Tamandua tetradactyla: one gene and its partner. The protein of the gene in region 1 purifies or fractionates together with the protein of each later gene. This does not show direct contact. Links are inferred from orthologs where the notes say so. Each region holds a gene or a part of one and is shown on either strand. Other genes may lie near its edges.

Evidence for each region.
Region 2: the proteins of TGOLN2 (region 1) and GALNT2 purify together in Homo sapiens (affinity purification with mass spectrometry; 3 studies listed by BioGRID and IntAct, counting the BioPlex papers as one, with this or other methods). This does not show direct contact. The link is inferred for Tamandua tetradactyla from reciprocal best matches to the Homo sapiens genes TGOLN2 and GALNT2.

The regions. Positions count from the first base shown.
Region 1 is NC_135343.1:59,576,500-59,584,256, forward strand, and holds the start of TGOLN2 (trans-Golgi network integral membrane protein 2), read left to right. Parts: upstream 1-4,654; 5' UTR 4,655-4,719; coding exon 4,720-4,765; intron 4,766-5,006; coding exon 5,007-6,133; intron 6,134-7,319; coding exon 7,320-7,403; intron 7,404-7,757. UniProt on the Homo sapiens protein: May be involved in regulating membrane traffic to and from trans-Golgi network.
Region 2 is NC_135328.1:154,569,449-154,576,572, forward strand, and holds the start of GALNT2 (polypeptide N-acetylgalactosaminyltransferase 2), read left to right. Parts: upstream 1-4,025; 5' UTR 4,026-4,108; coding exon 4,109-4,237; intron 4,238-7,124. UniProt on the Homo sapiens protein: Catalyzes the initial reaction in O-linked oligosaccharide biosynthesis, the transfer of an N-acetyl-D-galactosamine residue to a serine or threonine residue on the protein receptor.

The DNA.
Region 1 (7,757 bases):
CTTTTTAGAGCTGCTCCCCACCCACCCCCATCACCACTCCTCAGGTTTGTCAATCAAGAGTGTGAGTTGGTACATTGCTCTGGGGATCTCCAAGCTCTCTATGGCCCCTTTTCTTGGGGTCCAGCCCTTTCCCAGTATTTTGTGCTATCCAACTCAAAAAATGTCTAGTTTTTTTTTTTTTGTTTTTGTTTTTTTTTATCAGCCCTTCCCTTCTCTACTTGGCAAAAATTCCTTTTTCCTTTAGTCCTTATTCCAGGTTTATCTGTGTGGGAACCTGTTTTCAGTAGTCAAAATTTTAAAATTATTTCCACAATTGGAGCATGATTGAGCTAAGCCCTTGTTGCTAGTAAAGTCTGTTTCCTTTCCCTTTGGGGAACCAGCCTGCTCTGCCCATGGGGGAGGGATCCCGGCGTCCGCAGCTTAGGGAACTTACAGTTCTGCATGGGCTCTCAGCCACTCCACCTGGTCCAGAATGGTGTATGCTGTGTGTCTGGTCACTGATGTTCCCCCAGCAGTTATTCTGTACCATTCCTGGCTATTTACTATCTGCTCTGGAAGACCAACTAAATTCCACACCTCACTGTGCTGCCATCTTGCCCTGCCCTCCTACCCAATCTAATTACCTGTCCACAGATCTTAAGGTCAACCCCTTGTCCGCTGTTAACCACCCTAGACCTCAGCCCCTCATCTCTGGTGCATTGTTCATCAGTCATCTTATCTCTTCGGTAACCTTGATCACTCTTACAGGAAAGAATGAGTTCTTCCCTTAACTCTTTAAATAACTGCAACCCTCTCCCATATTAGAAACCATGTTTCACATCCAAACTTCCAGCAAAAGTAATTTCCATTCACTGCAACCAGGTTTTGCTTTCATGACTCTATTAAAATTCCTACTTCTAGGTCCTTATCCTATTTCAACCTTTTGCTGTATGTGATACTATTGATTTCACTTTCCTTTTAGAAACATTTTAATGACAACTGGGAACCCCTTGAAGTATATTGAGAAAAGAATCAGTGGAAAACAAGGAGGCGATAGCATCCCAGAAGACAAGTGACACGACTAGTAGCACTAAATGCCACACCACAAAGAGGCCCACAAACTAAGAATTGTACATATGGCTTTGTAACTTGTTTTACTTTCAATTAATCAAACATATGCACATATATGACTAAATAAAAGGAAGAACCATCAAAATATTTTTATAATAGTTATTTCTGGATTACAGGATTATTTTATTTTCTTACTGTGGCTTATCTTTATTAATCTTTATATATTGAATGTATTAATAACTATTATTATCATTTTGGAGCTCTAATCACATGCTAGACACCATGTTATATTCCATGCTTTACATGAATTCTCTCATTCTCAGAATATTTTAATCTCCATCTCATAATAAAGCTGATACTTTCAGCAATTAAGTAAATTGCCCAAAGTCATGGGAATCACTTGTGCAATAAATATTAAAGTACAACAGAAAGGGTTTTTTTTTTCCTATCAAATTGTTAGGTGAAATAATAGAGTGATCTTGAGCAAATTGCTTTATCTTTTCTGTGTCTGTCTCATTTTATAAAGCACCTACTGTATTAAACTTAATAAACAGTAGTTACAGTAGAAAATTAAGAATAATCCAGATGTTTAATAATAAGGGAATTGTCACAACAATTATGATTAACTCATAAATGATTCTTTGTGAAACCATTAGCAAATCGTGTTTTTGAGCAATGTTTAACTTGCTTAGGAAATGGCTCCTACATTTCCCTTTGAACTCCATGCCCAGATTTCCAACTCCCTAACCTCCATTGGATTGCCTCAGAGGCATAAGACACAGAGTCCAAAGCAAATTTATTTCTTGTGCCCCATCTCCAGCAATCCTGATCATCTTACCGTCATCCCCCCATGTCCAATCTTTGTGGTGTCTCCTCCCAGATTAATCTTGAATGGGACCCCTTCTCTCCATCCCCAAGCTAGTCCTACTTGGACTAGTACAGGAGTTCCCTAACTGGTTAACTCCTAAATTAACTCTTTCCTTCCCTCAAAAGGTTTGTCATGTTGCAAACAGAGAATTTTTCAAAAATCCCCAGCTTTGATGATCTTTTTCCTCTGCTTAAACCTCTTCAATCCTTTTCATTGCTGTTAAGACAAAACACAAAACCCTGAGGATGGCCAACAAGTTCTGCAGGATCCGGATTTCTCTTTCCTCCCTTGCCAAGTACTTCTAAACCCCATTTCAAACTTAATAATTTGCTTCCCTACCAAATCAGTATCCTTTAACATTAATCCAATGTTTGTTTAGGGAAGGTAGGGAGAATTTCCTTTTATTAGTTAAAATTATATAAAGAGACATGCAATTTTGTGCATGTAACTTACACCACCAAATTGTATATTCAAAAAGGTTAAAAAAAAAAAGGGAGAAATATTAGGTTTTGTATGTCACCACACACATGCAAGCACACAAACCCTTGTGTCATGGTCAGGTTCATGTGTCAACTTGACTAAGTGGTGGTACCTGTTTGTCTGGCTGGGCAAGTGCTGGCCTGTCTGTTGCAATGAGGACATTTCATAGAATTAAATCATGATCACGTCAGCTGCAGCCACAGCTGATTCCATTTGTAATCAGCTGAGGGGAGTGTCTTCCACAATGAGTGAGGCTTAATCTAATCACTGGAGGTCTTTTAAGGAGGGTTCAGAAGAGACAGACTCTCTTCCTGCTTCAGCTGGTGAGCCTCTCCTGTAGAGTTCGTCCAGACCCTCCATCGGAATTGTTGGCTTCACAACCTGCCCTGCGGATTTTGGACTTTACGTTCCCACGGTCACATGAGACTCTTTTGTAAATTTTATATTTGCGAGTGTTCGTATCGATTCTGTTTCTCTAGAGAATCCTAACTAATACACCATGGAACTGTACAACACAATGTAAACAGTGTGCTAAAGTTAACAGCATAATTATAATAATATTGTTTCATGAATTGTAACAAATTTACCACACTGATGCAAAATGTTAATAAGGAAAACTGGGTGTGTGAGAGATGGAGTATACAGGAACTTGGTACTTCCTGCATGATATTTCTGTAAACCTACAATTGTTCTTATATATATATATATATATATATATATATATATATATATAAATTAAGTATATACAGAAACAAATTCAGCTACCAATTCACTTTCTTTAGCCAAAGCAGTACAGTCCTTGTTCCTTAAAATTAGATTTATGCCACGTATTATTCCTTGAAATTATAAAGAATTTGGACTAGAAACTGCATGTCAACAAACTAAATATTGTACTTCACAGATTCCAGGGGAATATTACTTCCCCTGGCAGCTGCAGTCCTTTTGGCAGGAGTGGGGCTTGGTCACATTTCAGCCCCTTAGCTAGCATGACATTTTCTGTTAATCCAGCCTTACTTTTTGTGCCCCCTAGAGATTTTTGTTCAGGACAACTCCCAGTTCATTGACTCCCAGCCTCTTTCTCAGGCTGGATTAACCTTTAGATTTAGGCAAAATGCCAGGTCCCACCTGCTTCAGGCTTTCCCACTTACTGACAGCCAGGGAAGCTCCTCCTCCCTTCTTTTTCCCCAAGGAAAGCCTACATTCTTTGGCGCTCAGCACCAAGGAGCCGTTCTCAACAGGTCTCATGGGCTTCTGTACCTTTCTTCCTTGACATCTATTGGGGTGCACACACATTTGTACAGATACGCCTTGATTAATATTTCTATGTTACACTAGATTCGTGCAGTTAGGCCCTGTCACTGTTTTAATAGCCACAGTCTACCAAGGGCCCAGCTTGGCAACTGTTCATAAAAGATTTTTAGTCAATGTTTAATGAATAAACATAACACTAACTGTAAATAGTGGAAACAAAAGTATTTACCCAATGTTCTCAATTTAGGAAGATAATGAATATGCATAAGAAAGATATAAAGAAAATATGCAAATTAAGGAAGGGAAAATAAGTACATTTGTATTTAATTAAACAAAACAAAACACTAGATGGAAACACACTAAATTGATAAAAGCCCCTGGCAGGGATTTTTTTAAATCCCGTTTTGATTTTTGGACCATCAAAAGTATTATCTAATAGAAAACACTAAATTTTTGCCAAACAAAATAATACTCAACAGCGATTATCGCCAAGGTTGGGACTAAGGTTTTACTTCTTACTTCTATACTTTCACTAAACTTTCGACCTTGAACATGAATAACTTTTTTTTCCTTTTCTTTTTGGTGCATGGTCTCCCGCACGGAGGGCGAGCATTCTACCACGGAACCACCCGTGCACCCGAACACGAATAACTTTTACGATTTGAAAAAAGATGTTTTTTTTAGAGAAGGGCTTGGGCAACCTGGGAGGAAATTGTTTCGGCGAGGTGGGAGAGTGGCGGGGCAAGGAGGACCCGGGGCGGAGGAATGGGAGAGTAGGATCCGGGGCCCCGAAGGGCAGGGCGGGAACAAGGGTGCTGTAAGGGAGGATGTTAACAAGGTTCGGAGCGCGGGAGGGGAAGGCGGGGCCGACGTGGAAAAGGCGATAGGGTCCTCCGCAGGGGCCGCGCAGCGCCGCCGCCGGGCAGCCCCGCCCCCATACCAGAGAGCCAATGGATGGGCTCCAGGAGGTAGGACGGACGGGGAGGTGGTGGGACCACGGGCCCGCGCACGAGAATCCCGCACGCGCATCTCGCGAGAGTGGTTGAGGGCGGAAGCACGGCTCATGCAGGATGCGGTTCCTGGTTGCATTGGTTCTGCTGAGCGTCGCGGCCGGGGGTAAGACCCCCGCTTCTCAGATGTCACTCTCGCCCTCAGACCCACCGTACTTACCTCGGCCCCTCACCTTCTGGGCTCTCTTCTTCCCTTCCCGACCCACCCCTGCACGCGCCATCGTCCTACTCCTCCCCACCCCCACCCCGGTCCTACCGTTGTTTCCCCCGCCCCGGTCTCTTCCAGCCCTAAAGGGCTTCTTCTCCCGGCGTGACTCGCCAGGACCAACAAACGCCTTGTATTTCAGGAGCTGAACGGAACTCGTCCAGCTCAACGACAGTTGCCGATAATCTCGACCACCGTCCTGAAGAACCAAAGGCTGAGAGTCAGTCTTCTGGAGGAAGAAACCCAAGCGAGAACACCGTGAGCCAGCCGAACTCCAGTGGAGGCAGTTCGTACTCCGTAAATGCGTCCTGCGTAGAAGGCTCTAACAATACGGACCTTAGAAAACCGTCCCTCAGAGTAGACTCCAGCAGTTCGAACCCGGAAAAAACGTCCTCCAAAAAAGGTTCTAGCAATCCGGGCCTGAGAAAGCTGTCCCCCGAAGAAGGCTCCAGCAGTTCGAACCCGGAAAAAACGTCCTCCAAAAAAGGTTCTAGCAATCCGGACCTGAGAAAGCTGTCCCCCGAAGAAGGCTCCAGCAGTTCGAACCCGGAAAAAACGTCCTCCAAAAAAGGTTCTAGCAATCCGGACCCGAGAAAGCCGTCCCCCGAAGGAGGCTCCAGCAGTTCGAACCTGGGAGAACAGTCCCCGAAACAAGGCTCCAACAGTTCGGACGTGGGAAAACAGTCCCCTAATAAAGGCTCTGGCAGTTCGGACCCGGAAACACAGTCCCCCAGTGAAGGCTCCAGCAGTTCGAACCCTGGAAAAGAGTCCCCCCCAAAAGGCTCTAACAGTCCGGACCTAGGACAACAGCTGTCCACGAACGAAAGCTCTAGCAAGCTCGGGTCCAAAGGATTATCTAATGGCGAGGATGCTGACTTGGAGAGGAAAGCTGACAATAGAGAGCTTGTCATACCTGTTTCTAAGACAGAATCTGGGGAGAAAGTATCAACAGACAGTGACCGCACTTCTCCCCGGCAGGAGGGAGAAGATAAGTCTTTAGCTCCTACTGAAGATCTCCAGCCCAAGGAGCCTGAAGAAGGCAATACAGAGCCTGAAGAGGATTTACCACCCAAAGAGATGTCAGGCCCTGCCCCCAGTGAGAACCAAGAAGGTCCGCTTTTGAATTCCGTGAATAGCAGGGAATCCAGTGTCCTTTATAAGGGCAGTCCTGGAAGTGCTAGTGCAGAGAGCAGCCACTTTTTTGCGTATCTGGTGACCGCAGCCGTTCTTGTTGCTGTCCTCTATATTGCTTATCACAACAAGCGAAAGGTAAGTCAAGAGTTGCCTTAGAGAGGGGAGATCTTGGTGTATGGGTCAGCAGCCCCTCCTTAGCCCAGAAGCACTGGAGATTTTAAGACAAACCATTTTTTTCTTCAAACCCTGCTAGGGTCCTTGACGCCTGTTTTATAAATCATTTGTTGCCTATATCATCTATTACCGATTTCCTCTGAGTGGCCTCTGCTGCTGCATTAGGTGCCAAATTGGGATGTTAAGATCTGACCTGAAGTGAGTCCCCCCGCCCATAATCTTGAACTAAGACCCATGACTAGGTTCAGAGGAGCTGAGTACCTGCCGGTTTATAAGTACTTAGAGCATCTGTCTCCCCTTGCTTCTGCTTTTGAGATGTGTGCGTCACGTCTGGCTTCCTTTCTCAAGCTTCTGTCTTCCTTGCACAGTGGCAAAAAGAATGTCTGTAGTGGCAGATAGTCTTACATGTCAACAGCAAGGAGCCCAGGGACTACAGTCAGTGGGGTTTTTGATCTTTAAACAGAAGCCCAGAAATTGCACTTCTTTTGCAGGGTTTGGTGTGAAGTGATATTAGTATCCCTCTGCAAACACTTCAGTGACTAAAGAATCACATTTCCTGTTGAGCCCCAGGAATTTAGAAGACCATCAGACCATGGTTGTAAGGGATGAAAGAAGGCTTTTAGTAAAATTGTGCATCCCTTACTCTACAGCCAAGATTCCTTTGAGGGAAATAGCCTTTGGAGTGGAAAGAGGGAGGGAAAGTTACAGAGTGCAATTGAAGAAGCAAAATGTGGGGTGAAAGTATGTTTGCAGTTGTGAAATAATAATTATTATGATTAAAAAGTAAAAAGGGAGTGCCCTAGCCTGGAAAATTCAGCCTCTGGATCTCTTTGGGGAGGGATTGGCAGACCTGTCAGCTCACTAGTAATATTTGATCAAGTGCTGGTGAGTCAACTCCCACAAGCTAGAGCCCAGAGGAGCTTTCCCGCAATTGTTTTCTGTTGAGGAGTATAAAGGATTCTGATGTAACTGGGTCCTGTCCTACTAAAATCATTAGGATTTAATTAGGATTCTTTGTGGGTATAATGTTCTTTCTACAGTCACGGTCATTAAAAATGTAGTACCAGGATAACTGCCTCTGATTTCAGACCCTGGAACATATCATTACAGAGCCCCCTGCTAATCCTTTCCTTTTTCCTTTCCCCAGATTATTGCTTTTGTCCTGGAAGGAAAAAGATCCAAAGTCGCACGGCGGCCAAAGGCCAGTGACTACCAGCGTTTGGACCAGAAGGTAAGGAAGGAAGAGCCACGTTCACAGAAGTGATTAGCAACCTCAGGTGGGCCCAGAAGCAGGCTTGCACTTAAAAATAGGAGGAATTGGATCTCTGGAGCTGCTGGACAGTGGAGGCATTGAGGTATATGTACCAACCAGGTAGCAGCTAGAAGAGACCTTCAGGTATACCACTTCACTTCCCTCCCTTGACAGATGAGGAAACTGAGGCCCAGCAACATTTTTTTTTCCTCAGTTCCCAGTACAAGTTAGTGGCAAAATGAGGATGTGATAGCAACTCTCTAGATTCCTAAATCCTGTGCGTTTTGCACTATACTAGCACTTTGCACATTTTAGTAGGCATACAAATCATCT
Region 2 (7,124 bases), on another chromosome or scaffold:
CACAACTGATATATCTTCATTGGGAGATGAGGCTTTTAGCTATAAATTGTTATTCTTTGTCTCCTTTATTAGTGCTCTTTGGTCTTTTCTATTTGGTCTGATATCAGGAGCACAACTCCTGTTCTTTTAAAATCCAGTTTTCCTTTATGAGCCAATTTGAAAATATCTTCTTTTAATAGGCAAACTAAGCCCATTTGTAAATTGATAGAACTGATATGGTTTGGTCTCAACTCTACCACATTGTTTTCTATTATAATTACCACATGTATTACGCCATATTTATAATAGTTCTTTCTCGATTTAGTGTGTATTTTTTTCTTCTACTATTTTTTTAGCATTTTGGAATATTTATGTTTTTAGTGATTACATTTTTATTTATATTTTTTATAGTGCCTTTAATTCTGTTATTTTTTTTTCTTTCTTTCTTAACCTTTTAATATCTGGTCTACCAGTGTTATGAGGTCCCTCTTGACTCCCATCTATTGCCTATATAATGGTAATGACCTTATACTATTTTCCCTTTTTCTCCTTCTTTTCCTTCAATTTAATTGCATATATTCTACTTTGTCAGAAAGTATGATGTGTGCATACTATTCTTCTACCAATTAAGTATATTAAATGTTCTCCATCAGTCCTTTGGCTGTTTTCCTCAGTTATCTCTTGGCTGGAGGAAACTCATTCTCTAAGATGCCTCAAGAGAGGACTGCTCATTCTTTCAATTTTTGCGTTGAGTTCACTATAGCCTCTTACTAAGAGCAGACTTGTTTAATATAGAAAGCTTGGTTGGTAGTTTCTTTCCTTGAGTTTCTCATAAATGCTGCTCTACCGTTACCTTGCTTTGCATGCTGTTCTTAAGAAGTCTGATGTCAGCCTAAATTTTTATGCTTGTAAGTAATTTGGCCTTTTTGTTTTTAAAATCGAATCGTTTTAAGATATGTTTTGGAAAGGATTTATTCCAGGTCATTTTTCTGAGGTACACGGAAGATACTTTTGATATGTAGATTTAAATATTCTCTTATTTCTGGATTATTTCCTGGGATTATAGTTTTAGCATTAGTTCTGTTCCATTTAGCTTGCTGTTGCTTCTTTAGAAACTCCAGTTATATGTATTTTGGTCCTTCTCTCCTGGCTTGCACTTCAACCACTCCTCTCTGAACCTTTTATTTTCAATTTAATTGTTTTCTTGCCATTCTCTGAAGTCTTTATATATATATATATATATATATTCATATATTTATTTATATATATATACATATAAATCTGTATGCTGTATGGCAGGGGTCACATTTCATTATTTTTCCATGTGAGTATCTCCTTATTGCAGCACCATTTGTTGAGTATTTGTTTGTTTGTTTGGGAAATGCATGGGCTGGTAATTGAACCCAGCTTCCTGCATGGCAGGCAAGAATTCTACCACTGAACCACCCTTGTACCCCATTTTTCCTCTACATATTTTCATTTATTCTCCCTTGGGCTCTGTAGTGGCTTGAGGCTGTATGTACCCCAGAAAAACATGTTCTTAAATCTAATCCATTTCTGTGAGTGTGAACCCAGTATAAGTAGGACCTTTTGATGAAACTACTTTAACTAAAGTGTGTGTGGCCCAGCCCAATCAGGATGGGTCTTAATTCTATTCCTAGAGTCCTTTATAAACAGAATGAATTCAGAGATAGAGAATGCCACAGGAATTAAGAGGCTGGACAATGACAGAAGCTGGAAGAGCAGGTAAAGATCAGGAGACACTGCCATGTGACAGAGGAGACCAAGAATTGCCAGGACCCAGCCCCAGAACACCAATCTATGGGAAGAAAGCATTGCCTTAATGACATCTTGATTTGGACTTTTTCCCAGCCTCAGACAGGGAATGAATAAATGTCCATTGTTTAACCCGAATAATTTCATGGAATTTGCTTGAACAGCCCAGGAAACTAAAACAGGCACCTTGTAATTATTCTTTGTTTTTGTGGTAGTTTTGTTTTTATTTTCAATTTCTTTTCTGAATTTGATCAACTCTTGTTGTATTTCTTCCTAATTTTAGAGCAGTTTATTCTTAGTTTTTGAATTCTGGATTCTAGCTATACATATGTATATGAATTTATATTTGTGTATATATGTATGTATGTGATCTGTATAATCTTCAAAACTTCATGATACTTTGTTCAGTTTGATATGTGGTGTCATAATTTACTTCTGCTAAATGTTTTTTTTGGGGGGGAGGGGGTGGTGGAATACAGGGGGACTTTTCATTAGTGAACGTGTTATGATCCACAGCAGAAATGTTGTGATTAATTTTCTGTTTTCTTTTTGCAATAACTTTCTATGCAGTTGACTAGATTTTTTTTTCTATTACAAGGCTTTTGGAGGCAGGGTACCTAGTTTTAAGAGTGTCTTCTATCTGTATAGTAAAAAGAAGTATTTGATAGATGATGGGTAATTAGGGGAGGGATTGGCTGTCTTCTCTTTTATTTTGGCAAGCTCTTGAATTTTCCCTTCTTACTTCCTTCTTTCCCTTCATTGCCAGGCCTCCAAAGGATATTGCCCTCTCCATTCATCTGATTTTTTTTTCTCAGAAGCAAGACTTCTTCAAGGATGCCACCTCCTGTCCCATTCTCTTTCAAATCGCTTCCCTTGAACAATCAAGCACTGGACCTGTGTTCAGTGTTTAGCTCTTGGTCTTGGAGTTTGTCTTTACAGGTTTGCTTCAAGCTTATCTAAGTCCTTGGCAACAGTGGAGAGAGCTCTGTTGGAATTTGGTGTCTTTTATTTTCTTCTACTTAAGAAGTAATTTGAAGTTCAGTTCATGGCGTTTTCTTTCCCACTAAGGCTAAGGCTTTCTGTTTGTTTTGTTGAGGATGTGGGTAGAGATTAAGATTCAGGCAGCTGCCATTATCTCTAGACGGAAGCTCCTGAAATCACTTTTAAAATATCAAGTGCTCAGTAACATCTATTTCCTTCTTAGGAACACTGGAAACTTTGCATTTTACAAGGGCATTTTCAAGGTTAAATACATTCTGGCCAAGACATATAAGCGTCTTCAAGATACTTAGCGAGCCCTTTTTTCTCCCCCCTCTCCCTCAATACAGCAGCGACTGAGAAAAAAAGACTATATAATCCTGCTCTGTTCATTCTCCGAAAAACACTCACTTGAAAATCACCTTCTCACAATTTCCATCTCAAAGCCCCCACCTCTGCCCCCAAATAAATAAACAAAATGAACACCTGGTGATCACGGTATGTTTTGCTGAAACATAAGTAAGGAAACTGGCAGCGAGCAACAGAAAAGTCGGGTGCTGGAGGCGAGGAATTACACTAAAAGTCTCAGGACCTTTGGGCATTAAGAGAAAGCGTTTTAAGGGTCTGAGGCGGCCCAAAAGACCGAGGACTTGAAAAGGTGGTATTCTGGGAAGGGAAGCACCTAGGTTACCAGCACCACAAGGAACGTATGTGAAGGTCCCTGGGTACGTGTGGGCGCGAATGTGCGCCCATGTGCGCGCGCTCCTCCTCGGTCCCGGGGCAGCCACCTGTCACTCACGAAGTGGGGGGTGGGGGCAATCCCGCTGTGTGGAGGACGTAGGGGTGGAGGCAGGCGGCTGGGACGGCGCGGAGGAGGAGCGGGCGGGCCGGGGGGAGGGGGGGGGGCGGAGCGGCGCGGGGAAGCGCGGAGGCCCTCCCGGCGGAGTCCCGGCGTGCTGGAGCCATGGAGACGCGGCTAATCCCCTCCTCCCGGCCCGGCGCCCCAGCCCCCACTGCCGCCGCCGATTGGTCGCCCTTTGCTCCCTGACCCGTCTCGCCGCCTCCGAGGCCGGCTGCTTCCTGCCTAGGCAGCCGCTCGGCCGCCACCGGCCCGGGGCGGGGGAAGGGGGCGGAGCTCTCGGCCCAGCCGCCGCGGGGAGAGCCGGGCAGCCGTCTCTGCGCGCCCGGCCGCTGTAGGCAGCCCGCGCCGCCGCGGCCGGGGGAGGAGTCGCCGCCGCCCCCGCCCTGGCCCCTTCCCCCTTCCTCCGCCCCTCCTTTCCCCCATCCCCGGCCCGCCGCTCCCTTCCCGGCGGCCGGCGGGAGGCAGCACTCGCGAGCAGCCGGCGGCCGAGCGCCGGGTGGCGGAGTGGGGAGAATGCGGCGGCGATCGCGGATGCTGCTGTGCTTCGCCTTCCTCTGGGTGCTGGGCATTGCCTACTACATGTACTCGGGGGGCGGCTCCGCGCTGGCCGGAGGTGCAGGCGGCGGCGGCGGCGGCAAGAAGGTGAGTGCCGGTCCCGTCCCAGTCCAGCGGCCCCGGCCCGCACCGCGTTCGCTGGGCCCCTCCCTCTCCGAGAGCCCCTCCGCGGGGGGTCTCGGGCGCGTCGACTCTGGGCGGGGGCTCTCTCGGTCCCCTTTTCCGGACGTTCTCCCCTCGGCCGCCCCGCCTCCTACTCCCCGCCGAGTCCCTGGGTCGCGGCTGACATGCTCTCTCCTCGGCTGCCAGTCCTCTCCGAGGTGCTCGCGGGGGCATCTAGGGGATGTGTGCCCCGCTGTCCCCTTCACTCCTCTCCCCGGAAGAAAGTAACGAAACCCCAGACCTCCGCTGGGGACCGCGCCTCGCACTGGCCACGGATTTAAAAGCAGAGTTTTCCCCAGGGTCCGGAGCGCACACGGGCCCCTCTGCGGCAAGGCGGGGACTCCCGGGGAGGGGGTGACAGGGCGCAGCGCCACCGCCAAGGGCTTTGGGTTGGCAGGTTTCTTTCTTGCGCCCCCCCCCCCCCCGCATCCCACTCCTCCCGCATTGTTTCCCTTCCTCTCTCGGCTCCACAATTTAAGTTGCTGGGGCCCCATCCCATTCGGTGGGAAGTTTAGGAGGTGGGGGTGTTGGGAAACACAAAGAGGAGGAGAGGAAGGGAGAGGCAGTTGCTTTTCCAACGTGTCATGTAGATCTGGAGAGAGGAGTCCAAGTTTCTTTTCAACCCATTGAGACAAGCAGTGACACCTTCCCACCATCCTTCCCCTTTATTCCCCCTGTTCTCGCCGGGAAGAATGATCTAGGTTTCTGCCCCTTTCTCTGTCCTTTTCTTCTCTGGGGAGCAGTCCAGCTCCATGCCAAATAAAACGGACACCCCCGGCCTGTTGTGAGCAGAGGTCCACAGCGCCTCTGTCCCCGGAGCGAGGCCTGTCATGGTGATTTCCCCCTCGGAGCCAGGGACTCCTTTCACGTCTCCGTGTTACACGCTGCTTAGCTTGGTTGTCCCGGCTGCATCCCGCCGCTGGCCGAACGTTTGTCCTCGTGCACCTGGGTTTCCTAGTTCCACTTTCTCTCGTTCCTCTCGTTTTCTCTGTGTGTGTTTAATAAAAGCTTCGAGGGCCAAGTGATCAGGCTGCCGGAACCGTGTAACTCTCGCTGTCCTTAGAATCGCCGGGAGCACTCGGTCCCGCGTCTCTAAACAGTTCCAGGGACCGGGTGTTTGGGAAGAAATTGAACACTGTAGTGAAGCCGGGATCTACGCCTGTTGAGGGAAGGAGGTGTGTCAGGCTCTGGACTTGTGTACATTTCGTTGGTGGTGTTTGTTGTTTTTTAATGGCTAATCGGCTTTGAAAGCAGTGTTATCTTTTCCAGAATCCTGTAACCCACATTACTCTGACGTTCAGGGTTACAGCAAACCCAGGAAACTCTGAGTTAAAGGATGTGGTTCCATTTGAATTGCGGGTTAGCGTGGAACAAGAAAATAGTATCCTGAAACAAGCCAAAGGGGACCAATTGTAGATTAACAGATTTTAGCTCTGAAGTCAGACCTCTAAATGATAACACCGAAGTTCGGTAGCTTCAGAGGTCCTTCTCTGCCTTCCCTGCCTTCCTCCTTCCCTCCTTCCTTTCCAGCTCTGTGTATTAGATAGGTTGTAGAGTTCTTATTTCGTTCATAGGTTTGCTTTATCTAGAGCGGCAGAAGCGAAAACAGCCTTTCCATGTGCCTCATTAGCTTAGCTTGCATCTGAGCTGACATTGTACTATTAGCCCTATTTTTTCTTCCTTTCTTTTTTTAATGCAGGGTAGCCGTGTATATTTACATGAAGTCACCGTTTATTCTTCAGTCAAATGGTAAGAGCAGTGCAGTCACTGGAGGCACTGCAGCCCTCAAAAAAACTATGGTCACGTTTAAAATGGCATTGCTATAAAAAACTTTCCTTCCTAGTAAACTGTGCGTTGGCAGGTTGGAATAGCCTGGTGTGCTGGTGAGAGACCCTGCAAGGCCTTCTGTCTTAACATGTGAAAGAAAATCAAAGAAATAAACCAGCCTTGGTATTTCTCTTTCCTTGCTTTGCCACTTTCATTGGAAACAGCAACATGTGTCATCAGCATGGGAGAGGCTGGTTTCTCTGGGGCCTTGCTGGAAGGTTTCCTGCTGGTGGGTAGTTTTTGGGGGGTCTTCTATGTTGACCTCAGAAGTGTGATCTTTAGTTGAAATATAAACCCATGAACTCCTTGTGGTCTGGTGGCAATAGGAACGTATAGAGACTATGTGGGAAAAGGTGTGTGGGGGTGGGTGGGGGGTAATGAACAATTAGACATGGATTGGTGATTTGGGAATCTATTCTTTCGGTCAACGAACCATAAAATTTAATCCTGACTCTTAGAATGGTTTAGTGATTTGTCGGTTGGGGAAGAGATGTGTAAATGCAATAGCTTTTGAAATTGCCATGGAAGGCTCATTAACTTAGTGTGGTGGGACCTGACCTAAAGGAGTAGAAGCCCTCGGACTGTTTCTGGAGGAAGTGAATAGAAGCCTGCTGTTGTGAATTTCTTAATCTAGTAGGAAAACTGTATAGCCTTCCTCCTGAATTGTTTCTGTGGATTTAGGCACTAGAAAATCTCTCCAAATTTAGCTCATCCTCATGAGTGTCATGATTAAAGGAAATAGGTGCTTTGTTTAGCTTGTAAAGTATGGGCATAAAAAAAGGTAATGTGGAATGCATGTAAAGGCAGGATTTAAATAGTAGCCCTAGTTTCTAGATATAAGTGGACTTGTATTTCTTCACTCGTTGCATACTTTATGAGTCAGGGCTCCAATTCCATTTTAGTAAATTTTTCTGCATCCCAGGGTTTTTCAGGGGGGTACCAGGCTTCAGTATTGGGCTTTTGAGGATTGTCTGATCGGAGCCTG